Linked DNA regions of Macaca fascicularis. The protein of the gene in region 4 interacts with the protein of the main gene of each other region in a biochemical or structural test. Links are inferred from orthologs where the notes say so. Each region holds a gene or a part of one and is shown on either strand. Other genes may lie near its edges.

The links.
Region 1: the proteins of SNTB1 (region 4) and ASNSD1 interact in a test that uses a peptide from one of them, tested with the Homo sapiens proteins (2 studies listed by IntAct, with this or other methods). The link is inferred for Macaca fascicularis from reciprocal best matches to the Homo sapiens genes SNTB1 and ASNSD1.
Region 2: the proteins of SNTB1 (region 4) and GUCY1A2 interact in a test that uses a peptide from one of them, tested with the Homo sapiens proteins (2 studies listed by IntAct, with this or other methods). The link is inferred for Macaca fascicularis from reciprocal best matches to the Homo sapiens genes SNTB1 and GUCY1A2.
Region 3: the proteins of SNTB1 (region 4) and TANC1 interact in a test that uses a peptide from one of them, tested with the Homo sapiens proteins (2 studies listed by IntAct, with this or other methods). The link is inferred for Macaca fascicularis from reciprocal best matches to the Homo sapiens genes SNTB1 and TANC1.
Region 5: the proteins of SNTB1 (region 4) and MAPK12 interact in a test that uses a peptide from one of them, tested with the Homo sapiens proteins (2 studies listed by IntAct, with this or other methods). The link is inferred for Macaca fascicularis from reciprocal best matches to the Homo sapiens genes SNTB1 and MAPK12.
Region 6: the proteins of SNTB1 (region 4) and RPS6KA1 interact in a test that uses a peptide from one of them, tested with the Homo sapiens proteins (2 studies listed by BioGRID and IntAct, with this or other methods). The link is inferred for Macaca fascicularis from reciprocal best matches to the Homo sapiens genes SNTB1 and RPS6KA1.
Region 7: the proteins of SNTB1 (region 4) and CYSLTR2 interact in a test that uses a peptide from one of them, tested with the Homo sapiens proteins (2 studies listed by IntAct, with this or other methods). The link is inferred for Macaca fascicularis from reciprocal best matches to the Homo sapiens genes SNTB1 and CYSLTR2.

What each region holds. Positions count from the first base shown.
Region 1 is NC_088386.1:85,315,971-85,319,458, reverse strand, and holds the end of ASNSD1 (asparagine synthetase domain-containing protein 1), read right to left. Parts: coding exon 3,391-3,488; intron 897-3,390; coding exon 611-896; 3' UTR 501-610; downstream 1-500.
Region 2 is NC_088388.1:106,022,092-106,026,305, forward strand, and holds the start of GUCY1A2 (guanylate cyclase soluble subunit alpha-2), read right to left. Parts: upstream 2,801-4,214; 5' UTR 2,351-2,800; coding exon 2,042-2,350; intron 1-2,041. UniProt on the Homo sapiens protein: Has guanylyl cyclase on binding to the beta-1 subunit. Isoform 2 acts as a negative regulator of guanylyl cyclase activity as it forms non-functional heterodimers with the beta subunits.
Region 3 is NC_088386.1:54,399,250-54,403,484, reverse strand, and holds the start of TANC1 (protein TANC1), read right to left. Parts: upstream 2,801-4,235; 5' UTR 2,638-2,800; exon of another isoform or gene 1,439-2,637; intron 1-1,438. UniProt on the Homo sapiens protein: May be a scaffold component in the postsynaptic density.
Region 4 is NC_088382.1:130,260,690-130,264,189, reverse strand, and holds part of SNTB1 (beta-1-syntrophin), read left to right. Parts: intron 1-1,336; coding exon 1,337-1,544; intron 1,545-3,500. UniProt on the Homo sapiens protein: Adapter protein that binds to and probably organizes the subcellular localization of a variety of membrane proteins. May link various receptors to the actin cytoskeleton and the dystrophin glycoprotein complex.
Region 5 is NC_088384.1:1,302,722-1,306,221, reverse strand, and holds the end of MAPK12 (mitogen-activated protein kinase 12), read right to left. Parts: intron 3,132-3,500; coding exon 3,052-3,131; intron 2,969-3,051; coding exon 2,890-2,968; intron 2,808-2,889; coding exon 2,634-2,807; intron 900-2,633; coding exon 820-899; 3' UTR 322-819; downstream 1-321. UniProt on the Homo sapiens protein: Serine/threonine kinase which acts as an essential component of the MAP kinase signal transduction pathway.
Region 6 is NC_088375.1:208,553,760-208,557,259, forward strand, and holds part of RPS6KA1 (ribosomal protein S6 kinase alpha-1), read right to left. Parts: intron 3,235-3,500; coding exon 3,104-3,234; intron 1,303-3,103; coding exon 1,177-1,302; intron 983-1,176; coding exon 893-982; intron 538-892; coding exon 379-537; intron 1-378. UniProt on the Homo sapiens protein: Serine/threonine-protein kinase that acts downstream of ERK (MAPK1/ERK2 and MAPK3/ERK1) signaling and mediates mitogenic and stress-induced activation of the transcription factors CREB1, ETV1/ER81 and NR4A1/NUR77, regulates translation through RPS6 and EIF4B phosphorylation, and mediates cellular proliferation, survival, and differentiation by modulating mTOR signaling and repressing pro-apoptotic function of BAD and DAPK1.
Region 7 is NC_088391.1:27,793,095-27,797,182, reverse strand, and holds the start of CYSLTR2 (cysteinyl leukotriene receptor 2), read right to left. Parts: upstream 2,801-4,088; 5' UTR 2,713-2,800; intron 1-2,712. UniProt on the Homo sapiens protein: Receptor for cysteinyl leukotrienes. The response is mediated via a G-protein that activates a phosphatidylinositol-calcium second messenger system.

The DNA.
Region 1 (3,488 bases), on a different chromosome or scaffold from region 4:
CTCCCACAGGTGGGTGGGTAGGGATGAAATTCCAACTTTTCTAATCTCTTGATTTTTATTATTTATTTATTTATTTTTTTAGAGACAGGGTTTCACTGTCACCCAGGCTGGAGTGCAGCGGTGTGATCCTAGCCTCACTGCAGCCTCCACTTCCTGGGTTCAAGTGATCCTCCCACCTCTGCCTCCCGAGTAGGGAGGCACATGCTTCCATGCCCAGTTCATTTTCTGTACTTTTTTTTTTTTTTTAGTAGACATGGGGTTTCATCATGTTGCCCAGGCTGGTCTCAAACTCCTGGACTTAAGAGATCCCTCTGCTTTGGCCTCCCAAGCTGCAAGTATTAAAGGCTATTTAGAGACCTCACTCTAAGTCACCGCATTAGCATAAACTCAGGTGTGATCAAAAGGGGCTTATTACGAATAACAAAAGATACTCCCTATCACTAAGGAAATTCCATGGTTTTAGGAGTTCTGTAACAGGAAAAAATGAAAATTCAACCAAATGAACTTTAAAACTACTATTATTATACAATAATAAAGCAGCAGAGTATCTTACTTTTATATAAGTAATTATATAAAAACGTATTTTTATATTGTTACACTGTGAATCACATTACAATTTAGTCTCCTTTTCAATAGAAAGATTTTCTAAGGAAATGATTTGGAGCCGTCCACATTTATCAGATGCCTTTTCATTATTTTTTTCCATTTTTGCAATTCTTGATCCAAATTGCATGGCCCGTTTGGGCAGAAGAGCAGAGGCTGTAAGACCAAGTTCCACAGCTGCAAGGCGTAAAAGTAGTTTTTCACCAATCCCTCGGGGTAAAGTCAAGTTTGCTTTTTCCCAAATTGGTAGAGAATTTAGAAAGGAGACAACATTTTCATCCAGGAAAGGAAATCTAAAATAAACAGATAAATAATATAACCACTATGTAAAAATAAAATCAACCTGCTTTGATTTATACAGTTTTATAGCTAAAATGTAATCAAACTAAGTGTTTCATAACACATGACATATACTACAAAACAGTCTAAGTCTCAATAAATAAATTAGGCTCACTGTGTCCAGAAATAGTTTCAAATTGTCTTACAAGGTATCTTTGTGGAGGCCTTGAAAACAAACATGATTTTTTTTTTTTTCCACCTAGGCGAGCACTACCACACCCAGCTAATCTTTGTATTTTTGGTAGAGATGAGATTTCGCCACGTTGCCCAGGCTGGTCTCGGACTCCTGAACTCAAGTGACCCACCTGCTTCGGCCTCCCAAAGTGCTAGGAATACAGGTGTGAGCCACTACACCTGGCCTACAAGCATGATCTTAACTAACTATTCAATCTGTGTCTGATCTTTATCACAACGAAAGAAATGACACTTTAGGGATATGGAACCAATGTAGAAGGGCTCCACAGCCTGAAACTGCAAAACACGGTAAAATTTTGTTAATCAAAATTGTTTAATTATACTTAAACCAATTAAATGGTGATAAATTACTGTAACAGAACAAAATATTAGATTTTTTCCCCCTAAATTCTGGGATGACCTAGAAACAAAATATTAGATTAAAAAAATAACTTTCTGCCCTTTTGCTTCCCCAATTTCTACAAAATTCTGTTCTTTTTCTGTTTAAAATACTTTAACACCCACCATCCCACATCTCCAAATGCAATACAGTTACACTAGTGTTTCCGTTTTATTACATCTTAGTCTAGGTTAAGAGATTGGAAAGGGCAAAGACATTTGTTATGTGGAATATTAAATAAAAATGAATGAGTTGCAAAAGCAAATTTAATTAGAGAATCAAATCAACACACTACTAATATGTATGTCAAGATACATAACAAATTATTTAGATCTAGCCACTATATTTGTTATATCACAATTCTGTATTAGCTGCTTTAAACATTCTTCATATGCATTTTTATTTGAGCATAATATAACACTTTCATAAGTAGGTGCTTTTACTAGACAAATTCCCTTCTCTATGACCTAGCTGAAATAACATACCGAATTTCTACCTCCTTCTCTCTCACGTCCTTCAAAGAGAAAACAGTTTAACAGTTTATGGACTTTATTATGGTATTAGTTATCACTTTACAGTGAAATCTGGAAAATTATGATAGAATAATGACATAGTAGCCAAACTTTTACATGGGCTAGGACCAGAAACTTAAGAAGGACAACTGTGTAAAGGCAGCTACAAGTCAGTGGAAAGAGGAAAAGACTGAAGTAGAGACAAGAAACAATGAAGTCTGAGAGAGAGAAAGAGAGAGAGAAACTGTAGTATGTTTAATTCTCAGGGAGCTTACTTGGACTTCCTATTCTTGGATGCTTGTACCCTTGTAATAAACTACCTACTTGAATCAATTAGCCTACTTGAATGGATTTTTGCTCTTTATAACTAAATGTCACATCTTCCTTTATCCTTACTTAATGTCTTAGAAAGTTTTATTCAAATACTGTACTTGTTCACTACCTTCAGAAATATGATATAGGTAAAAATAAACCTGAAAAGCAAGAATAGATACATGAAAGTGCCTTGGTTTCTCTGAAGGTTTTAGGTAATCTGCAATATGTGACTAAATTGTGTCCAAAAACATGTGGCAGAGGAATATCCAGTGTGAGGACTACCTTCAAATCAGCATGGATCTGTACATACAGAAATGTCTACAGAGACAAAGCCAGTTTCTATAACATCGGAGAAGAAGGCTTGCAGGTGGGGCTTATGCCCTTCCTGGGAGGAAAGCAAACATTAAAAGCTGAACAAAACCCTCTACATACCTTATCTTAGTATTTCACTATCTCAGTTTTACTTTGACAGTCTTTTATGTGGAAACGGAGTCTCACACTGTCTCCCAGGCTGGAGAGCAGTGGCGTGATCTGGGCTCACTGCAACCTCCACCTCCCGGGTTCAAGCCATTCTCAGCCTTCCGAGTAGCTGAACTACAGGCATGTGGCACCACGATCAGCTCATTTTTTTTGTATTTTTAGTAGAGGTGGGGTTTCATCATGTTTACCAGGCTGGTCTTGAACTCCTGTCCTCAGGTGATCCGCCCGCCTTGGCCTCCCAAAGTGCTGGGATGACAGGTGTGAGCCACCATGCCTGGCCTACTTCAACAGTCTTTTTCACTATAGTCTTAAAAACAATCCTGTCATTATGTTACCTTTGAAAATTACTGAAAATACATTTCTTAGAGAATGAGTTCTAGAAAATAACTGCTCTCCTGGCTCTTCCCAGCTCTGTTTCTGACTGTGTTTATAATATAAAGCCAAGCTATTATTGCTGCTGTTATTCATCTGAACAGTCTCCAAAGAGAAAACAAACTTAAAAGTCTCCATTTAAACTCTGCTATTTTTATAAAAATACCGTAACAACACTCAAATGATTAGAATTACCTTGCTTCTTTTCCATGATCACCAATAACTCTGTCATCACGACCAAGATTTCTAGAAGAAATTCGACCCAGTTCCATCATTATTTCCTTATTCAATCC
Region 2 (4,214 bases), on a different chromosome or scaffold from region 4:
CCAAACTAATCATTATCTTTAGCAAACTCATTTAATTAAATAAGAATCTGTTGTGCTAAATAACTATTTTATTGCACAAATGTTGCTTTAAGTACTAACATAAGCCTACAGATGCTCGGCGTCACTGGACTCCCGTTGTACAGAAATATTTTCAACAATTTGCAACATCAAATAGTTCATAAAATTACGCTGCCTGGGAAATACTGGCAGGGAAGAACAGCAAACAACAGCCAATCTATTCTGAGGATTGTTTTCTAGGTTATCGATGAAAGAAAGTGACAGAAAGATATATCAAATAGGAAAATACACAAGAATAGGAAGATGACTGTTTCTCAATACGTGTTCTTAAGAATTAAATTAGTTCAAAATAAATAATAAGTGACTTATACATCTTCAATCAGGTCTTGTAAAAGAAAAAAATCATTCTCCATTAATGGAAGTGCCACAACAATATTTGTAGAACTGCCTAGTACCAGTACTCAGTCCCCTCAGAGTCCCACTCCTTCTTAGGTCCCTCTTACCATCATGTGCAGTAGTAATCTCAAAAGAGAGAGACTCAACAGTAATCAAACAAGACCAATGTTCAGATTCATTTTGGAAACTTTAAAAAAAGTAAAAATCCTAGGGGTGGGTAGGTAAAAGTGCTGTCAGGAGTAGTTAAAGCTCTTGTATGCAAGGTCAGGGTGAGGATAAAAGATGGATGGAGGTTTGACGCTGAATCTTTTTCAAATTCTGTCGCAATAGAGTGGATTCCTTCAAAACAGAACTCTCCCAGACAGGGTAAGACTGTACCAGAGGTCTGGCATTCCTGCAAGAGGTAAAAGCCAAGGGTAGTTGAAATGCCTGGGCAGGAATGAGACAGGAGTACTCTGGAAGGATGCCTACAACCAGGGGGAGTTTGGTGAACACCTGAAACTGCTGATACAGACATCCCAAGATGAGCACAAGTTTGGAGAGGCATTTGTTCATTTCACAAATATTTAGGAAGGGCCTAATATAAAGAAGCCATCAAAAAATGAGAGAGAAAGCACGAGAGAATCCATTGACGAGAGTAAAGAATGAGGTACAGGTGCAAGAAGTACAGAGCGGTTTAAATAGCTAATGTAAGAGAGAAAGCACTAGAGAATCCATTGAAAAGAGAGTAAAGGATGAGGTACAGGTGCAAGAAGTACAGAGAGGTTTAAATAGCTAATGCATGCGGAGCTTAAATACCTAGATGATGAGTTGGTAGGTGTGGCAAACCACCATGGCACACGTTTGGCACCTATGTAACAAATCTGCACATCCTGCAAATGTATCCCGGGACTTAAAATTAAATTAAATTAAATTTTTTTAAAAAGAAAACCAGACACCAGGTTTACCCGGAGAAGAATAAATGCCTAGTGGATAAGGGGGGAAAAAAAAAAAAAAAAGCTATGGGGTGAGGAAAACTCGAGATTAGAGATTTCTTCAACAGAAGGCAACTCAGAAAAGTATCTGGCAAAAAGTATCTGAAGATCTGAGAAAAAGGATGCAACATAGACTGCAGATAGCCTGTGGAATTCAACGATGTCAGAGAAGGTCACGCAAAGACCAAGAGAGTGTGGGAAATAAGGAGAGGAAGGGTTTCCTGGAAGGGGTTGGGGCTCCTTTGGGATGCTAGAGAACAGGATGAAAGATAGGGAAGCCGAACTGCAGAACACAGTGCCTGGGAAAGTTTAGGGGAAAGAAAACAGGTGGGTGTGAAGCAGCACTGGGGCCGTCCAGGGGGAACAGTGGTGAAGTAGGGTTCAAGGCTAGAGGTGGGCAGACTGGCCCCCGCATCAGGAGACCCCAAAGGAGTGGAATCTTACTCCTTCCCGGTGCTCTAGTCCCCTCTTCCGCCCTAGCCTAGGGCATCCTCTGTCGCCCGGAGCCACTGGAACCCTAGGCCGGGCAGGGTGAGGCCGGGCCGCCCCCCAGCGGTCGGGCTCTGAGCTCGCGCCCCGGCTCGCCCAGCGCCAACTTTACCGATCCGCGTCCTCTCCCCTGAAGGCGGTCCCCCCTTCCGCCCCCCGCTCACCGAGGGCGCCGTCAGGCGGCTGATGCTCTCGCCCAGCGAGTCCAGGTTGACCCGCCTCCGGCGCTGCACCCTCCTGGCCCCGGCCGTGGCGGCGGCGGCGGCGGCAGAAGCAGCCGGGGCTGGGGCGGCGGCGGCGGCGGCGGCAGCGGCAGCGGCGGCCGCGCTGGGCTCCGGCGGCCCGGGCGGGCTCCGGCTGCCATTCCAGCAGAGCCTAGACAGGGGGCACTCCCCCTCCTCCTCCGGGCTGGTCTCCAGGTAGTCGGAGCCCAGGGAGCTGAAGGACTCGGACGAAATCTTCCTTCGAGACATGCTGCCGGCGGCGCTGCAGCGGCCGAGGCGGTGGCGGCGAGGACGCGAGCGGCGGCGGAGGCGGCGGTGGTGGGACCGGCGAGCCGCAGCGTTAAGCGCGTCGGGGCCGCGGGGCGCTGCGGTCGCGCTCGGCGGGGCGGGAGTCCCCGGGGCCGCGGAGCCCCCCGAGCCGGCTGCTCATGGCGGGAACTTGGGGCGCCGCCACACCTTGGGGCCCGGGCTCGGCGGCGGCGCCGGGCTGGGCTGGGGGCCGCCGCCGCCTCTGCTGCTGCTCGCGCGGCGCCGCCTCAGCGCCAGCCTCGGCGCATCGCCGTGCGCCGCGCTCCCGCTCACGGGGAGGCTCCGAGTGTGTGACCGCGGTCGGCGGGGCGGGGAGGGCTACGGCCCAAGCAGAAGGGGAAGCAGAGGCTTCTGCCGCCTGCGCGCCTATCTCGCCCCCTTTTCCTCTCTGCTCCCGCCCCTCTCCTCCCGCCTCTCTCCACTTGCTGCCCGCCTCCCTCCTTCTCCCTTTATCCCCCCGCCCATGCTCTCCCTCCGCGGGTATCACGTGTCGCCCTCATACTCATTGGGAGTCTCTGCCTCGCCTGTCGCCACGTTTCAGGAGCAACGAGGACACTTCGTTGCTGTCCTCTGCGCGCCCTCCCTGCCCCGAGAAGGTGCGCACAAGAGCTCGGATCGGACTGAGGGGCCCCAACCCCAAACGCCTTATTCTCGGCCCTTGGGAGCAGATGGGCCCCGGAGGCGCTGGTGGGGAGAAGGACTCGGGACTGGGGGGCGAGAGGCCTCCCCCTGGAGCCACCTTGGGGAAGCCTGACAGTGTGAAGTGGGGGTTAGGGTCCATGTCCTTTCTCCGAGTTTATTTAGGAAGTTCCGAAGCAAAACGAAAATGCTAAGCGTCCAGCCAACCTATTCCAGAAGAGACGCTTACAGGGGAAGGGAAGGACAGGGGCAACATGTTGGCGCCCATCCTGCTGGAGCAGCTCCTGGGGACTTGCGTTCCCCGCCTCGTGCGAGGCCGTGTGGGCGCGGAGCGAGCCCAGAACGGGGCGGCAGTGAGAACAGCGTCTGCTCTGGCAAGAGAGCCCTGTTGCTGAGTCTCAGCCCAGCGGGGTGCGCGGGGCTCCCGGCTCCGCCGACACCTCACTAGTGCTGGACAGCTCCGCATGCCATCTACAGCCGCGTTTGCAGGCCTTGAGAACTGGAAAACAGTTTCTCCTCAAACTACCTAGTATCTGGCCGGGGGGAAACCGGGGAATGATCCCACGTCCCTCATCCTTAGGGCTCTTTGCGCCAAATAGGCGATCTGTTTGCACCTGACTGCAAATGCCGCTCAGAAAGCTAAGAGGAGTAGGGATGAAGGCTTCTCAAACTGACTCGCCACAGCGCGATCATCTCTTGCCGCGAGTTTTCAGCTGTGCGGTTTCATTCCAAAGCTTATCTCTTTGCAAACCAGTCCTTCCAGCGCCTGAGCCCACTGCCCCTTGCCTTAGCCCCAGAAAACTCTCATACTGGTTCTGAGAATAGAGTAAGGGATGGTAGAAGGGGCAAATGACAGTATCCCAAAAGAGGGGTCCCAGGCTGTACTTCTCCCTGCAATAAAGTGGATGAGCACCCTCCCTAGCTCCCCCGAATCCGCGGAGAGAAAAGTTCAGGAGCTCAGGCTTTGGTTTCCCAGGGAAACCGAAGTCAAAGCGTTTTTTTGTTAAAGAACTGGTCCTTCCAGGTGAAGGCAGACGGGTTTGTGTGGACTGTGTTTATTTAAAAAGCAAAACAAAACAAAACCACAAAACCTGTGCTGAACCCCCACCACAATTTGCTTTTAACTCCAAATCTTCCCAAGTGTTTGTGAGGGCTTAAATGTAAA
Region 3 (4,235 bases), on a different chromosome or scaffold from region 4:
ACCAGTTAAACTATTTATCATAAAGATAAAAATAAAGCCATTTCTTTTTCTATGAGACTCTCAACCCAACTGAGACAAAATCTTTACAATTAGGTTAGAAATGTCTAATGGAAACATCGACATAAAGTTAACCTCCAGCTATGCTGGCAGGAGTCATTATAATATGGATTATAGTTCCACTGGCCCAGGGATGCTGGTTTTAGTGTTCCCAGAGAGATAAAGAATTAATCAGCAACTCAGAAGAGGATGTCGCCTAAAAATGGACGATTTAATCCAGACAACTCCATTGTCTCTAAAATTATGCCCTCAATCATCCAGTGTCAAAAACCTACTATGGCACCAAATAAATTGTATGTGGTTAAAGAGACAAAATTTCTTTTTTTCTACAGGCTGTTATGGGAAGCAGAAAAAGGCTGACTATGAATCAGTTATGTCTTAGATCAAGGATGAATATAAATTATAATAATTTGGGCATTCTGGTGGTTAAACCAAGAAAGCAGGAAAACCATTGCTTCCAAGTTCCAGCAACACTTCGAACCAACAGGCTTGGTGCCAAAAAGTTAAGTTTGGGGCACCACAAGTGCAAGATAGGGTCATAAAAACTCACCTTAAATTTATTTGTGGGCTTTTCCTGCTTCCACTAAAATCAATGACACTATTTCCCATCTGTTATTGTCAAATCACAACAGTCCGGAAGCCTGGACCAAGTTCACTTGGCAGGTAACAGGAACAACCCTAGGAGGAAGTCCTGAAGGATATCAGATACCATAGTTCCTTTACTGCCACATACTTTTCATTTCAGAACCACCAGGATATATTTGTGATGCTTTTTGACTAACACTTAAACCAAGCATTCTGACTGACACAAACTGCAGAAACTGGCATACTCTAGGGAAGGTCCCTTGTGAGGTCTTTAAGTAGCTTAGATGAGTAAAACATTCAGACTACTTCCATAATGAACCCCTCTCAGCCGCTCATAAATTCTTTCATTCCCAGCAATCAAGAAGCAGCTGTTAAAATCCTGGAATCTTCCTAGCAGCAGATCTGAAATACCTCCAGGCTGACCCAGGAAGCTTCACAACTGCTTTCTTCTCCTTTCCCTCCCCTGCCTCAGGAGTGCCAGCCTGGCAGGAATAAAGATGACCAAGGAAGGAAAAAAGAAGGTAGCGGATCTGGTGAAAGCAGAGACGCAGACTCCCTTCATTTCCACTACAGAGAAATACTAGCCCTCTGTGCCAACTAACCAGGTTTCTCCTTTCCTCTCCCACCCCCACCCCTCCAAACACGCATTAACTTCTGCAGTCTGGTGTGTCTGGCATTTCCAGGGCGAGCGATCTCAGCAATTCTGAGCCCTTTCCTCAGATTCTGAACCAGGAACTTCCTTTCCGCGCCAGCCAGTTTGCGATCCAACGCACGTTAAGGCTCAGCTTCCATTTACCTTGTAACCTGTACAGACGACGCTGCTTCTGAGGTCAAGTTCAAGATGAAGGTTCCCTCATCTCCCAAGTTAACTCCAGCTGGGAACAACGCCACTGCGAACGGTCCCAACATTGGAGGCACAGGGATCTGGATCTGCCAGGAGCTGGCAGGAGGGGCCTGGGAGAAGGCCGTCGCCGAGCCTGGCGTCCTCCGCCCCTTGGCCGCAGCGTCGCGTTTCTACCTGGCCAACGCCACATTTCCTCCCGGAGCACAGTAAGTCCAGTAAGTTTTGAGAACACCGGTCTAGAGACCTTTCTGTCTGCAAACACACCACCCAATGTCTAGAGCTTCCTTCCCAGCCAGGCGTTCCGGAAAGCCGCCGCGCCGAAGCCGGGAGCCCCGCACACCCACAACACTGCGCGCCCGCACCCCAAAGTCCTTCAGGAAGCCAGTGCCCTGATATCGTCCTCCCAAAAGGACCGCTCTGCATCCAAGAACAAGGGGGCTCACAATCTTGACAATTACTGCTTTTCTCAGCGTCCCACCCGTAAAGAAAAACCCCCAAAGTCTAATCCTAACTCACCCCTACCCCCAGTAAAGGAGTGTGGATATGCTAATCGCAGTGTTCTTGGAAGCAAAGCAATAGATTTTCAGCCCAGACTATGGCAATACGATGCCCCCGGCTTAAGTTCTCTCGGCAACTTCGCGACCCGCGCACCCCAACTCTCCGGGGGGCGCCTAGGACCCCGCTGTGCCAGGCGCGCCTCCCCTCGTCTCTCCCGCGCCAGGTACCAGGCGTAGCCCAGGCCCTTGCCAAGCCCGAGGGCTACAGCGAAGGCGGGAAAGGGGGCGAGCAGGCGCGCCGGGCGGGGGTGGTCCCAAAACTCAAGCGTGCCCCGAGCATTCCCGGTTCCCATCACCCCGGTTCCACCGCAGGCCGGCTCGGTCCGGCGCGGCGGAACCGCGCAAGGAAGGTGCGGACTCCCCAAAGCCGCCGAGACCAAGGCCCGGGGCGCCCAACATGTCTGTGCCTATTCCCGGAAAGCTCCCGGGTGTGCCCGGCGGAGAAGGGGGCGCTCCGGAAACTTTCCCACACGCCTTTCCCTTCTCCCATCACCCTCTCCTCCCCGGGTCCCTCTCGACCTTTCCGCACACTGGCAGCTGGCCATGCCCGGGGCGCTCGGAGGCCCACGGCGGAGCCGGGGCGGCGGGAGTTACCTGCCGGGAAAGTTTCCAGCTCCTCGGCGCGGTTCCCCACACCCAGGGCCGGGCCTCGGGGCGCGGCCAGCTCGGCGCTCCGCTGCTGCCTCTCCTCCAGCTCCCGAGGCGGCCGCCGCTCCAGCAGCTGCCACAGCTAAGCGTCCGCTCCGGCCCGTCCCCCGCCTTGTTCGGCCCACACCGGGGCCTCATTGGCAGCGCGAATCCCCGCCCTTGCGCGTGTTCCCGAAGGCACCTTCCTCTCGCGCGCCCGCCCGGGCCGCGCCTCCCGCCCCCCTCCCCGCCCCGGGCTGCGGCAGATCCAGGAACCGGCTGGAGCGCGGAGCGCGAACTTTCCGTGGGGTTTGGGCGCGGGGTGGCCTTGTCCCGCCTCTCGGCGCCAGGTCCAGGCCAGAGGCACCCTACCGTCCCTTGGGACACCGGGTCCCCCGGGGTGCGCCTGGGCCTCCCCGGGACCAAAATGAGATGGGCCATAGTCTTTTTTACAGCCTCTTCAAAATCAACAAAGCGACTCCGGCCTTCCCTCCTCGCTGTTTTTTTACCACAGCCGAGGAGGACATATGGGAACAATTAACCAAGCTGGAGTTTCCGTGGACGCTTTAGGGTGGCTTGTGCGGCTTTCTTGGATTTTCTCTGCCTCACTTAACTACACACAAACACAAACACACTTTCTGGGGCCAGAATGAGCTAAATGAACTGGAAGGTCTAAGAAGGCATCTCGCAGGCTGCGTCTTCTTCTTTCCCAAAAGCGACTGGGGGATGTTCTGGGACCGGTGATTTCTCGGGCGTCCGTGGGCCCGCGGGTCTGGACCTCCTGCGACCGCTCCGGGCTGACCCGTGCTGTCTGTGCTACTTTCACAGAGGGACAGCGTCGTGCTTCTGTCGGAAGGAGGTGGGAGGGACGGAGGGGAGAGAACACACAAAGATGCTATTATTTTGTCGGTTGGTGGCAGTAAATTAAACTCCTGAGTTCCCAAAATGTTTTGTTATTCTCCAGCAGAGCAAAAACCAGGATAGGGCCTAGGGATTCGGGTGTCCTGGGTTCTCCAAGATCCTCCCAGGAATCCCAGGCAGCCAAATTGGCCTAGGGTACTCTGCCCACTTATTACCCGAAGCTCTCTAAGACAGCCTTCGTTGATCTAGTTGACCAGGGAAGGATCAACTAGAACTGCCCCTGCCTTGTGTGGCCAGCGGGAATTGTGCACGGGTCAACCCATTGGTGTGTCTGGAGCAGAGAATAGAGAAGTTGCTATAAACCGATTTATTGGCAACCCCTAACCTTGCTGTGGCAAACCCGCCTTTAAATACGATTGTGTTTTAAACAAGTTTCCTCATAAAAACTTCAACCTCACGCAGAGCTTCCCAATATAAAGACACCAGCAGGAGGGGTGTCCATATTTAAAGGTCTTATGAAAAGGGACGGGAAGCAAAATGCCACACAATCTCTTTTCATAAATTAAAAAGACTGAAATGGACTGGATTTTTCACCCGTAGTTTCAAAGGCCTGATTACTGCTGTGTTGATATTTGAGCAGTAAACACATCAGCGGCCTCGAAGTATTCCCGAAATGAGGCAGGATAGAATATTTAAAATAAAAA
Region 4 (3,500 bases):
AGTTGCGGGGGAGATTAAAGATCTCTGCTTTGTGGTGATGGAGTAGTTCTGCCTTGTAATTGCAGTGGGGTTTACACAAATCTACACATGAAAAAATGGCATAGAACTATACCTTCACATTGTACCCATGTCAGTTTCCTAGTTTTGATAGTGTACTACAGGAGGTAAAATATAACCACTGGGGGAAACTGGTAAAGGGCATCCCAGACTTCTTTGTTCTATTTGTGCAACTCCATGCTAATCTATAATTACTTCAAAATAAAAAGTTAATGACATAAAGTATCTGTTGAGAATTTCCTTCTTTTACCACAATTACAGTATACAGATTTCTCACTCTGTTTCTTCAGTAATCCAATTAGAGTTCTGGCATAAGCTTTGTCGTTGAACTTTTATTTTTATTTTAGTTTATTTTAGTTTATTTTATTTGAGACTGAGTCTCACGCTGTAGCCCAGGCTAGAGTGCAATGGCTTGATCTCAGCTCACTGCAACCTCTGCCTGCCGGGTTCAAATAATTCTCCCACCTCAGCCTCCTGAGTAGCTGGGATTACAGGCACCTGCCATAATGCCTGGCTAATTTTTGTATTTTTGTAGAGACAGGGTTTCACCATCTTGGCCAGGCTGGTCTTGAACTTCTGACCTCAGGTGATCTGCCCACCTCAGCCTCCCGAAGTGCTGGGATTACAGGCGTGAGCCAGCATGCTGGGCCTGGACTTTAAATATATAATATTTTAAGTGCTCTCTCCCCGTTGTTACCCCTTCCTAAGCCAATTCACACCTTCACACCATGGGTCTGAGGATTAAGTGGACGCTAAATGTGCTACAGACAAAATTCCTAAAAGATGCAAAGTTTGGTCATCTTCGATTCTAAAATATTCTCAATTGATTAACACTGAGCAGCAGGATTAAGCATGTGGCTAGATATATTTCAATCTGTTTCCTGCCAGCACCAGCAAGGATGTGAGTATATTATTAAAATCCTCTGTGAATTAAGAAGTTAGGCAAATTAGTATCAGCTCACAGTTTGGAAGTCTCGATATGATACTACTAATCAGCAAATCAGCTGAATAACAAGAAAATCAGATAACCTTAATTTAGGTGATTTGGTGGTTGCACAGCTGTGTTCCCGGTATGTAGACCAGTACTTGGGCACCCAGTAAATATGCGTGGATGAATTAATGAGTGAATGAATGGATAGCGGGACCATTAAGGCATCCCATGGGAAACTGACAAAGTCTAAAAATAGGAGTAAAGAATTAATTCACCTTTGTGGCCCAGGTCTTGACGAAGCAGGACCTGCCAGGAAACTTTCTAACCCTTTTCTCTGTGTTCCTCTAGGCAGCTTGAAATCCACTCTCCAGATGCTAAGCACACAGTGATCCTAAGGAGCAAGGACTCAGCCACTGCCCAGGCATGGTTCAGTGCCATCCATTCCAACGTTAATGACCTGCTGACCCGAGTGATTGCTGAGGTCAGAGAGCAGCTGGGGAAAACAGGCATTGCTGGGAGCCGAGAGATTAGGCATCTTGGCTGGCTTGCAGAAAAGGTAAGAAAAATACCTTCCTCTATAATAGTCATCCTTCCCGAGATTCCCCCAGCGCTCATAACCACTAAAGTTATCTCATTCCATAGGCTGATTCTCTCATTCACAGTCTGTGTGGATTTCTTATCCCTCTCCAGCAGGCTACAGGCCTTTACATTATACAGGGGTTTTGTCTTAATTGAATTTGATTACCTGCATTTAGTTAAACATGTGGCAGATTGCACGGGGTCCAGGTTGTTGGATGATGGATGAACGAGTGAGTTGAGGATTAGTTTGATTTTAACTTCTATGTATGAAGGGAAGGGAAAATAACTCAACCTCAGAACAGAGCTGTTGCTTTGGGAGGCAAGGAAGTCCAAATTATTGCTTCAAAAGGGTTTGTGTGGGTTTTGATGAGCCTGTTTGTTAATAACACAGACACTTTTGAGATGATTCAATTATACATTTACAAGTAACAGCAAGGATTACTTGAGCAATTACTATAAGCTGGCTCTTTTCTTATGTTACCTTATATTTTATTTGTGCTGTTAAGCCAGCCGCTCTTTAATGCCATCATTAAAGAGCACCTACTTTTGTGAGGCACAGTGCGAGGCAGGAGTCGGGGAGGGAGTGAACACATAAAAAGACTTAGCCTCTGTCTCAGAGAGGACAGCTGCTATGGAAAAGACTTTGGGTCATATTAACACGGTCCCTGATTTCTTTTCCCAAGTTATGGGATATGTTAAAGATAGTAAAACTCACTTTGTGGCCATCTCTTGGGAGTTACTCTTTCTCTCTATTTCAAAGGATTGAGTCTTTGCCATTGTCCTTACATATGATTGCTGTCCCTTGAAGTTGACCTTGAGTGCTCAGGAACGCTGGACTTTGGGGATGATCTGACCTCCCAGTGACTCACTTTCTAATAGACAGTAAATGGGAATAGTGAATGTCACAATAACACGTTTCCTGCCAAAGAACTCTGTCATCTGAGAAGGCTCGGTCATATGGCACCTGGAATAATACCTGAACACACCAGTTGGCTGTTTTCCGTCATTGTGCTTTGTTTGCAGCAGATCATGCCTGGGTCTTAGCCTAACAATTTAACACCAAATGGGTTGTTTGACTTGGTATTGTCCTATCTCTCAGAGATTTCAAAGAACCAAAGGGACAATGCAGGTGATAGGAGCATCCAAATTCATAATAAACACAAACCACCCGTAGCCTTTCATGAGTTTATGTGTTAGGGTTCCTGAAGAAAACAAGACCATAAATCTGGATGGCTGATACGATTTTGAAAGTCACATCTCTATCACTCTCCACTTTCTACTCTCTTCAAATGCATGTGTTTTTATTAGAAAAGGGCCTGATAGTCAAGGATCTTTCCATTACAAGTGGCAGAAAACTCAACTCAATTTAGCCTGAGCAAAATGGGCATGCCTGGGTTCTGATAACTGCAATGTCCAAAGATAAGCTTCAGGCATGGTGGGATCCAGGGACTTAAATAATGTATTAAGTCTAAGTCTCCATCTCTTTCTTTCCCTGTCCTTTCATTAGTTTATTACCAGGCTTCCTCTTTAGTTGGCCTGACGGTTCCAGGCTTATGTTTTCTTTGCTCCTGGTTGTCTCAGTGAAGAATGGCTTCTTTGCCCCAATTGTTCCAACACAAGTCCTGAGATTATAAGTCTAATTGGGTTGACTTGGATAATTTGTTCAGTCTTAGTGCTGAAATCAGCCTCACCTAAGTCATTTGCAGTGAGGATGAGGAGGGGTGGTTCTCTAATGGAAAAAATCAGGTGCTGTGCAAGAAAAACAATCAATGGATACCAGGGAAGCAAAAGCAACCAACATTTACTGTAGAACAAGAGAAGGAGCTGATTGTGATGAAAAATGCTCTCACTTGGTTAAGGTTCTGGGGGGACTTGGAGATACAGCACTTATTTTAGGATCCTGGCAGCAGATGGATGGGAAGTTCGAAAGGGA
Region 5 (3,500 bases), on a different chromosome or scaffold from region 4:
GTAGATCCTAACATTTCTCCCCATCAGGCCCTGCCCCTGGGTCTGGCTTCAGGATCCACACACAGTGGCTTAGACTCTAAGCCATTAGCAGAAGGTCACCCTGTAAAAGGGGAGGGGGTCAAGCCCTAATGTGGGGGTTCGAAGCTCACTGGCACAGGTCTGGGGAAGTGGGCACCAGCTTTGTGGCCTGGGAGAGATGGGATGCTCAGGCCCCCCAGCTGGCTCTGAGGGTCTGAGCTATCAGGCCAGCCTCCTCTACATGCAGGCCAAGGGCTTGGAGGCCTTAAGACAGGTCGCAGCATGAGGACGCACAGCCAGAGCAGGGAGCTACAAAAGGGTCTATTTCATTCCAGCCACGTGGGCGCCACACAGCTGATTTACATTCCAGGCAGGGGTGCAGGAAGGTCCAGTGACGTCGCCCAGGAGAAGGGATGTCCCTGAGTTGGTGCCCTGCGCCCACCCTCTGTTCTTCCTCCGCATGGCCCAGAGCAGGCAGGGCTCAGAGGCCAGGGCCTGACCTGGAGCCCCACCAGCTCCGAGGTTTCTGAGGGCACCGGGCAAGGGGGCCCCGGCTCCAGGCATCAGAGGCCATCCCCAGGTCGGCCAGAGGTCCTGTCCAGAAAGTTCAGGTGCTCCTCCAGGATGGGCACCCGAGAGCAGAGGCAGGGGCATGGGGAGGAGGGTCCATGGAACCCAGGGGTCTGCTCCGACGGATGCCTTGGGATGCAAGCCCCAGCCAAGGTCAAGGTGGCAACGAGGGTCCCCTCTCAGGTGGAAGGTGAAGGTGGTCCTCACTACCACCCTGGAGCTCAGAGATCTTCACAGAGCCGTCTCCTTGGAGACCCTGGCTCCCAGCTGCCGGGGAGGCTTGAAGCTGAGCACCTCTTTGTAAGTAACACCTGGCGGGGGCGGGGGGCACAACAGAAACCAGGGTCAGCCTTTGCCTTCCATCCTGGGGTGTCACTCACAGACACGCCTGGCGGTGCCTCGTGGGGCCCTTCTCTAATCCTAATGTGGTCCAAACTACTGAGAGAAGGTTTGTGTGAAGAGGCCATTGCTCTAGATCCGGATTTTCCAGGGAAAGGGGAGGTGGCCAGGGCTTGGCCACGTGTCCACCACGGTCTGTCCTAAGAGCTGAGGCCCCAGCTACAGTTGTGTGGGTGGGGACTACAGAGAGGATCCTATGGCCCATGGTTTTCAAGTTATCTTTTTAGCAGGAGAAACCTTTAATCAAAGCCAAACTCATAAGCACACAACTAAGCACACACAGCGAAGGGTGGAGGCCCTGCTGCAGGCACCCAGGGACCCGTGGCCCTAAGGAGCACAGGTGAAGAATCTCAGTCCATCCAGCCCCACCCAGCCAGTGTGGAGGACCAAGGCCCTGCGCCCAAGGCAGAGCCAGGACAGGGCCTGAAACACGGCACTGCTCCCAGTGTCCACCTGCTGTCCCCGGGCACCCCCACCACAGGTTGGTCATGCAGCCATGAAGAAGACACAGCCTGCCATTCTGGAGCAAAAATGAAGCCAGGTCCAGCATAGCCTCAGGCCACAGCATAGCTGTGGGAGCTGGGGAGGCTTCCCTGAGTTCAGCCTGAGGCTGCACAGGCCTTGGCCAGCCCTCCAAGATGAGGGGATAGCCCCTGGTATAGGGGATGATGGACCCTAGTAGTTAGGGTTGGGGTCTGGACTGCTCAGGGGGGCTGGGGGAGACAGGTGAGGCCCTGGGGACTATCTTGGGTATATAAGACATACATGTCTTGTCCAGATGGGAAGGATCCTAAAATGGACCAAAGAGAGGGCCGGGCGCGGTGGCTCACGCCTATAATCCCAGCACTTTGAGAGGCCGAGGTGGGCGGATCATGGGGTCAGGAGATCAAGACCATCCTGGCTAACACGGTGAAACCCTATTTCTACTAAAATTACAAAAAGTTAGCCGAGCGTGGTGGCGGGCACCTGTAGTCCCAGCTACTCGGGAGGCTAAGGCAGGAGAATGGCGTGAACCCGGGAGGCGGAGCTTGCAATGAGCCAAGATCATGCCACCACACTCCAGCCTGAGCAACAGAGCGAGACTGTCTCAAAAAAAAAAAAAAAAAAACACCTGGAGCAAGGAGAGGCAAGGACAGATTCACGAGATGTGAGGAGAGAGGCCTTAGGGACAAATGGACATGGTGAGGGTGGCACGGTGGCCCGGGTCTCTGGCCTGGACATGGCGGAAGGGCAGCAGGTCTGGGGCCAGGAGGGGCTCAGTGGGCCCTGCTGCCCGGACTCACAGCTGCCCTTCACCGTTCCCGGCTCCTTCTGTGCCAGCCTCTGTGCTGAGCCTGCCAGGAACACCCTCCTTTCATCTTTCAGCTCCAGCCAGAGGTCATTTCCACCAGGCCACGCGGCCCCATGCTGCCCTCTGACCTCCCATTCTCCTCACCTGACCTGCATCCCAGGGACGGGGATTTAGGACTCTGAGCCTGGCCACCTGCACAGGGCCCACAGGGTCCACACAGGCCCTGCCCGAAGCCTGCCACCCATGGGTCCACACAGGCCCTGCCCAGAGCCCCCCCACTCACAGGTCCACACAGGCCCTGCCCAGAGCCCCCAACTCGGGTCCACACAGGCCCTGCCCGGAGCCCCCAGCTCACGCTTCCATTCATCCAGCGTGCGGTCCACGTCATCAAAGGAGTCGTCATACTTCTGGACCTGGGGCTCATCTTCCGTGTCGTGCAGGGACTCGAAGTAGGGATGGGCCAGTGCCTCGGCTGCCGTCACCCGCTGCTCCGCATCCAGCACCAGCATCTTCTCCAGGAGGTTCACAGCTGCGGGGGAAGGTGCGTCAGGCCAGACTGCGGGAGGCCCCACACTCCAGCACCTGGTGGCCCCCACACTAGCCAGCCCTACCCAGAGGGCTTGCATTGGTCAGGATGGAGGCAAAATCCTTCTTCTCCAACTCAGGGAGGCCCTTCATGTAGTTCTTGGCCTATGTGGAAAGAAAGGGTGAGGGGCCAACACCGAGGCCCGGGTCCGCCCCCACCCCCACCCAGCTCCCCACTCACCACTGACCTCATCACTCTGCAGCCGCTGCACAAACTCAGCTGGAGGCGTCCCTGTCACTTTCATGATCTCCTTCAGCTGGTCCAGGTCTGCACTGAGGTCAGGAGCACAGCTCGGGGGGCCAGAGATCAGGGCCCTCACTGCCCCCACCTGGGCAGGAGCCATCCCCAACCCCCAGAACCCCCCACCTGCGCAGGAGCCATCCCCACCCCCCCAGAACCCCCCATCTGGGCAGGAGCCATCCCCAACCCCAGAACCCCCCACCTGGGCAGGAGCCATCCCCAACCCCCAGAACCCCCAACCTGGGCAGGAGCCATCCCCACCCCCCCAGAATCCCCCACCTGGGCAGGAGCCATCCCCAACCCCAGAACCCCCCACCTGGGCAGGAGCCATCCCCAACCCCCAGAACCCCCCACCTGGGCAGGAGCCATCCCCACCGCCCCAGAACCCCCCACCTG
Region 6 (3,500 bases), on a different chromosome or scaffold from region 4:
TTAGTAGAGACCGGGTTTCACCATGTTGGCCAGGCTGGTGTCAAACTCCTGACCTCAAGTGATCCACCTGCGTTGGCCTCCCAAGGTGCTGGGATTACAAGCATGAGCCACTGCGCCTGGCCTGGAAACTTCATCTTATGCTAAACCTTACCATGGTGACTGGCACACAGTAGATACTGAATAACTTTCCATACCTTCCCTTTCACGATTGACCACATCTCTCCCTCCCTCCTTTACACGCATCCCCCGACCCAGCCTAGTCTTCCCTCAATTTGGCTAGCTGGAGGTTGCCATTCCTGGGCCAGCATGTGGTTCATGTGCTCTGCTGATGGTATGACCCTTGGCATCCCCCTACCGCCTCCCTGAATCCAGACTCACCCCCTGTGAGTGCAGATACTCCACAGTTTTGCCGATGGTGTGCAGGACGAAGCTGGCCTCCCGCTCCGAGAAGAACTTCTGCCGCAGGATCTTGTCCAGCAGCTCGCCACCCCGCATCAGCTCTGTCACCAGGTACACGTGTTTGCCATCATCGTACACCTGCCGAAGACCTCACCATCAGGCTCTTCTCCCCAGTGTCAGGCCTGGGCCCCCTGGTCAGCAGCGCCCCAGAGCAGAGAAGAATGACATGAGCCTTAGGCAGGTATTCTGCTTGCTCTTCAGTGGCCCCGCCTTCCCCAAAAGGAGGATGCTGACACTGGTCCCCTGATAGGCAAGAACGTCCTCAGAAAATGCCTGAGTCTGAAGGAGGGCCCTTGGGGGATGGGCAGACTGGAGGGACCAAGGGACCTCTTTCCCCTCCACATGACCACCGGAAAGAGGATGAGAAGTCAAAGGAATGGCAACCCTGAGACAAATCCTAGAGAGTCGAGTTCCTGGTCCCCACCCCACTCACATCTTTCAGAGTAATGATGTTGGGGTGCTGGCCATACCGCAGAAGAATCTCAATCTCTTCTGAAGGATCCCGCTTGCTCTTATCAATGACCTGAAGAAAGTGGGTGCATGTGGCAGTGTCAGGGTGACAGGCTCCAGGGTCCTTCCTTGCCATGGAGCAGGCCTGGAGGTCTCGGCCACACAATCTTTCATACATCTGCAGAGCTCAGGCACCACCCCTCCCCACCAGACGGGGACCTGCCCCCGGCCCGGCAGCCTTGGCTGAGACGTGGTCAGGAGGCCCACCTTGACAGCATACTCCATGTTGGTGGCCTTGTGGACACAGCGCTTGCACACAGAGTAGGAGCCCACACCAATCGTCTCCTTTACCACGTAGCCGTCGCTAAAAACCAGGTTCTTCCCATGGAGTTGCTGTAGGAGACCAAAAATTGTGGCTGACCCCTGGCTCCAGAGTGCTAAGGGTCATCTCCCAGCATTCAAGGTCTTGGCTCAGTAGAGACAGCACCGGGGAAGGGCCAGGAGACTTGGCGTAGAGTGTTGGCCATGTGACTGCAGGTGAGAGCCTGCCCCTCTCTGGGCCTCAGTTTTCTACTCTATATGTTGGGCATACTCGCTGGCTCCCAGCCTGCCTGGACTGCAGCCTGTGGTCAGAGGGCAGCGCAGGGAGTGGGCAAGAGGGTCACAACACACATGGAGAGGACTTTAGTTCTGAAAAGCCTGGGCAGGCCTGGGAGGGACGCAGGAGCCCTGAGCTGAGTTCCAGCTGTGCCACTAAGTATGGCTTTGAGTGACTTGCCTCCCCTTTCTGGGGTGTCACAGCTCAACTCAGGGGGTGTCTCAAGGTTCTGGGACATTAGCCATAGCAATGCTGAATGGTGCTTAGTGTGTGCTGCGTGCCAGGCAGTATTCTAAGCACTTTCATCAGGTGACTACATGCCCCGCGGCCAGCCCTGGCTTGCGCCTGCGGTCCTTGCATCCAGTCTGATTTAATATTTGTCCTGGATAAAGATGTCCCAGTTTGGAAAATAAATTACATAGTCACCTTAACTTTATTTTTTATGTATTTATTTTTTGAGATAGAGTCTTGCGCTGTTGCTAGGCTGGAGTGCAGTGGTGCATTCTCGGCTCACTGCAACCTCTGCCTCCCGGGTTCAAGCAATTCTCGTGTCTCAGCCTCCCAAGTAGCTGGGACTATAGGCACATGCCAACACGCCCATCAGATTTTTGTAGTTTTAGAGATGGGGTTTCACCATGTCGGCCAGACGGGTCTGTTTAAATTCCTGCCTCAAGCAATCCACCCTCCTCGACCTCCCAAAGTGCTGGGATTACAGGCATGAGCCACCGTGCCCAGCCCACTTTAACTTTACATGTATTAACTCTAATAATCCTCATAATAGCTCTATGGAGGAAGATTCTATCATTTCCCCATTTACAGATAAGGAAACTGAGGCACCAGGAAGGGAAGTATCTCATCTAAAGTCCATTATCTGGTCGGGTGCTCATGTCTGTAATCTCAGCACTTTGGGAGGCTGAGGTGGGTGGATCACTTGAGGTCAGGAGTTTGACACCTAGCCAACATGGTAAAATCCCGTCTCTACTAAAAATACAACAACAACAAAATTAGCTGGGTGTGGTGGTGTACATCTGTAGTCCCAGCTATTCGGGAGGCTGAGGCAGGAGAACTGCTTGAACCTGGGAGGTGGAGGCTGCAGTGAGCTGAGATTGCCACTGCACTCCAGCCTGGGCAACAGAGCAAGACTACGTCTCAAAAACAAACAAAAAAAACCCCAACGTCCATTATCTTGTGAATCTGGAACCCATGCAATGAGCTGCACAGTCTACATTCTTGCCTCTCAACCTGAAACTTTCATGAGGCAGTGGAAGTGTACAAATGGGGAACAAGTGTGAAGAGATACAAGTTATTTGCTACCCTTATGCCAGAGACACGACAGTCACTCTGCACCACCACCCTGGGCACCCCCTGGCATGTACCCAGACCCTGCTCTGTGCTGGGAAATGTATAGCCATATCATCATCCAATTATCAGGGCCACAGTGTGAGGCGGGCCTTACTGTCCCTGTTTTATGTTGGAGACCCTACGGGTCCCACAGTGGCACGAGGGTATGAACCCGGTTCTGTCCAACTCAGAGCCTGTATTCACAGCCATTCTTTAGAAAAGGACAACGGAGCAGCAGCCCCCTGCCCCCCTCACCTGTACCACCGAGTGCAGGGGTGCCTGCGGGGCGCGAGGCTTGCCGTCGTCCTCCATCAGGCCAGTGGCCACGAAGCTGAAGCCCCGGAACAGCTGATGGGCCCCAGCGCTAGGGGGGATGCCTGGGGAATCTGTAGGGGCAGGAGGGGAATGTGAGGGTACCTGAGGAGGTCCCCTCGACCCTGAGGCAGCCCAGCAAAGGGGGAGCACAGGGCCTCAGACCTGCCTCAGGGGCTGGCCATGGCAGGAGCCTGCAGAGGGCCTGTCCATCCCAGGCCTTAGCCCGACTGCTCATATGTGTTTAGACCAGTCCAGTCCTGATGCATGAGGAACATTAAAGACTCTCACATCCCAGGCCAAGACAGTTCGTCCCTTCCTGGATGCTCCCTCCCCAGCT
Region 7 (4,088 bases), on a different chromosome or scaffold from region 4:
GTGCATAGAGCAAACTATAGAAAAGCAGAAAGGATCCTTGATTCTGGAGTACACAGGAAATCTTAATGATGCCCAAAGTAACCATCATGTATTCATGTACACAGCAATGAGTAGTACACTGAAAAAATATATCATCTTTCCTCCAAAACGGAGGCTGCTCATGTGATCCCAGGTGGATGGGAGGCAGAGTGATATAATGAATGAAACCATGTGCTTTTGAGTTAAAAGGGTCCTGGGTTTAAGTTTCAACTCTGCCTTTTAGTCTCTTTTATTACTGCAGCCCTCTGAGCTTCAAACTCTCCTCTGCCAAAGGAGCACTGGAGTGAGTACTGATGAAAAAAAAAATGGATGTGAAGTGATTAACTTGGTGCCCAACACACACAAAGAATTCAGTCAGTACTAGCTGACAATCACAATAAAATTTGTGACAATAACGTACAAAACTCAGAGAATTAAATAGCAGCCTTCTTTACGGCCAAGTAAAAGATGGGGCCATTTCATCCGGAGAAGAGCCAACCAGAAAGACATGAACAATTCTATTTACTTTCCTTTATTTTTATTACACAAGTAGTACATGTTCATGGTAAAGAAAAATTACAATGTAATACAAGCTGAAATAAACTTAAATTATGAACTTTACCACCAACCAGACATATCTAAAATTTCACATATATGCTTTTTTTCATCTTTCTTGAAATATATGAAAATATTTTTAAACAAAAATAAGCGCATTTATAATACTGTTTTATATCTTGCTTTTTTCTTATTTCCATGCCATGATCACCTTTCTTTGCCAAATAACAACATCAATGTCATCATCTAACTGGCTACAGAATAACCAATTATATAAACATTATGAAATATGTTTAACCAATTTCCCACAATAGCTATTATTTAAGTTGTAAGAATGGACCATGTGCCCTGGGCTAAACCAGATTGGACCAGTTCTGGTTCCACCTGGAAAAGATCCTATGTTCTCTCGGTCTCATCTTTACCATCTTTAAAATAAGAATTACTCCAGTTCTTAAGGCTAGTATGTGGATCAAATGAACTGATGCATGTAAACGTGTTTTGTAAAGTACTATGTGAATGTTTACATTCATTAATGAAGGTACTAAACAGGTGTTCTCCACTGAGTCAAAACAAGAAGAAATTTGATTAACATGCTGTTGGTCTCGTTGGGATGATTCCTGGCCTGCAGCAGGCTAGGAGTGCAACAGCAAATGCTTCAATGTGGTTTAGGGGCTCTGGCTCTGTTTTCAGTCCCCAATGGGAGAAACCAGAACGCAGCCCTGGCATAAACTCTGTCCACTTTCCTCCTGAGGACATGAGGTCCAGAGAAGGTAAGTGCCATGTCTATGGGGCTCCTGAAAGCCAGAGTGAGCCACCTTCTGCCTCCAAATCCAATGCCATCGATCTTCACTGTGCCCACAGTGTGTTAGTGACTGGCCAGCTATTAAATGCCCACCTTGTGTTTAATCTTGAAGATTGCAAAAGAAAGGAAGCCTGGCTGCCTTGGCAGATTCTAGCAGATATGGGCGTGATTCAGGTACATTCAGAACATACGACAGCCTCAACTTCTCTAACTTTTAACCATCGAAGCACTGGAAACAAATCCACCTCTTTAAAACATTAGTAAATCGAAACACAAGTAGATTCTCATCTCAAGAGTTTATGTGGCTGAGGTAGATAGAAATTTCTAGAAGTCTTATGTTTCCCCCCAAATTATTCTGTAATTTGCATTATGTATGTAGTGTTGAAAGGGAGATTTGATTGGATTGCCTGAAATTATACCTCCCTTTCTCCTAATACATATTACTCTCAGGTATATGTCAGAGACAGAAAAATATTTTGAATGACGTAGGTCATCTGTTTTTATGCCGACCACCTATTAGAATCACCTGAGAAGTTTCTGGAAAACAAGACAAAATACTGCAGATGACTTGCTGATCTCTAAAAGTTAAGCTTCAATTATTCTAGGGGTAATTTTCTAATCTCCTCAGAGTCAGGTGATTCTGACTTGATGTGCAGCCAGAGTTGAGAAACACTGGTTAGGGTCCCAGTGGGGTAAGGAACAGATTATATGCTCATGATCTCACATACTCTTTCACTCTCATTGTGCCTCTAAGCAAAACCATTGAAACATATGTGCTCAGATTCAACTTCTTCTACCTCTAAAACAAGACCCTGAATGAAAAAAATATATCTTATATAATAAAAGGACCCAAACTATGAAAAATAGGATAACTGCTATACAGCTAAAAATGGAGGAAGTAAAGTTCCTCAATGCAATATTATGCAGCAGCTTTAATTTATGATTACAAAGAATTCACAGCAACATGGAAAAACCATAGACTGAAATGCAGGAAATGAATATAAACGTGTCCATAGTGCAGGGACGCAACTATGAAAACTAAAGTTATATGTGCATATACACATTCACAAACACGCACACACACACACACATACACACACACACACACACGGAAAACCCCCAAAATATCAATAGAGGCTATCTTGGTGGAGAATTTGGCTTCCTTTAACATTTTTGTACTTTCACAGTATTTTTTAAACTACCATGTACATGATAGGAAAATAATATTTATAGTAGAACAAAACAAATTTACTTTTCAAAAATTACTCCTCTATTACGTGATCTTCAAGTCATGATTCTCAACACTGAATTAACAAAACAAAGATTAAAATGCCCACCTGAAGTTCTCTGTCTTTCAGCTGCCCTGGCTTCTGCTGCCTCTATCTCTTCTGCCTTTCTCCTCCAAGTAATTCGGATTGCTCATTTAAAAGAAAAGGGAAACAGCAAATTATATTTATGAACAGTGCCAACCAATAGCAAGAAAGTCAGGAAGTGTAGCAGGTCATCTGTGCTTTTTAGAAGCCAGTATAGATGTCAGTGCAAGATCTCTTCTCAAGAAGGGGGAAGATTTCCAGTTAAGGGCTACATCTAAAAAGAAGAAACCTAAAATTGCCCTGCCCCTCTAATGACTGGTTTTTGTCATTATCTTTCTCAAGAGAACAAGCGGATATAATGGGTTAGAGTCAGGGATTTTAAGTGGCTTTTAGTTCTCCTGAAAGGTTTCTGTTTCCATGGCAACAGAAATAGCAACACTGCCTTACACACACAGCACTTTAGATTTGTTTAAAGCACTTCCCTCACTCACTTATATTTTCAATTCACTTGCACTCCAGCAGAGACCTTATCCACTCTGCTGAAAATGTTCTGTCAGAGGTTACCAATAACCTTGTTGCTCACATAAAAAATCCTTTCTCAGTCCTCACCTTCCTTCCCGTCTTGTTTGCATAGTTGACCACTACCACTTTCCTGAAACTTCTTCCTTGTTTCTCTGACTTTCCTGGTTCTTTTTCTCCCCCTCAGATTGCTCTTCTTTGCCTCTCTTTCTGATGCCTCTTCTTCCATCCCTTTTCTACATGTGAGCTTTCCCCAGAGGTCTGTGTTCTGACTTCTTCCCTCCTTCTCTTGCTTTTATCTATCTGATGCACAATCATGGCCAAATTTAATGTGACCCAGATGGACCTTTTCTCTTCCCCTCTTAGTCCTGCATCCCCCCATCTACCCTGTCTAAACAGTGGCACCACAATAATTTAGCCCATCCATAAACCTAGAAGTCACTTTTAACTTCTCTCTTTCTTCCACCACCCACTTCTGAGCCAACAAGTTCCATTTGTTCTGCCCATAAAATATGTCCCAACTCCAACCATTGCTGACCTCCCCATCACTGTTCAAATCCTCATTTCCTGGATAGAAAGCTGCAGTAACATTAAGCAAGAAAAATACATAAAAGGGATCCAAATTGGAAATAAATAAGTAAAATTATATCTGTCTGCAAATGATAAAATTTTATACGTAGGAAAACCTGAAGATTCCATACACACACACACACACACACACACACACACACACACACACACACAAAACCCCAATAGAACTAATAAGCAAATTCAGCAAAGTTGCAGGATAGGAAATCAATACACAAAAATCAGTTGCATTTATATATACTAACAATAAACAACCAAAAAAGGAAACTAAGGAAACGATTCCATTTAGAATA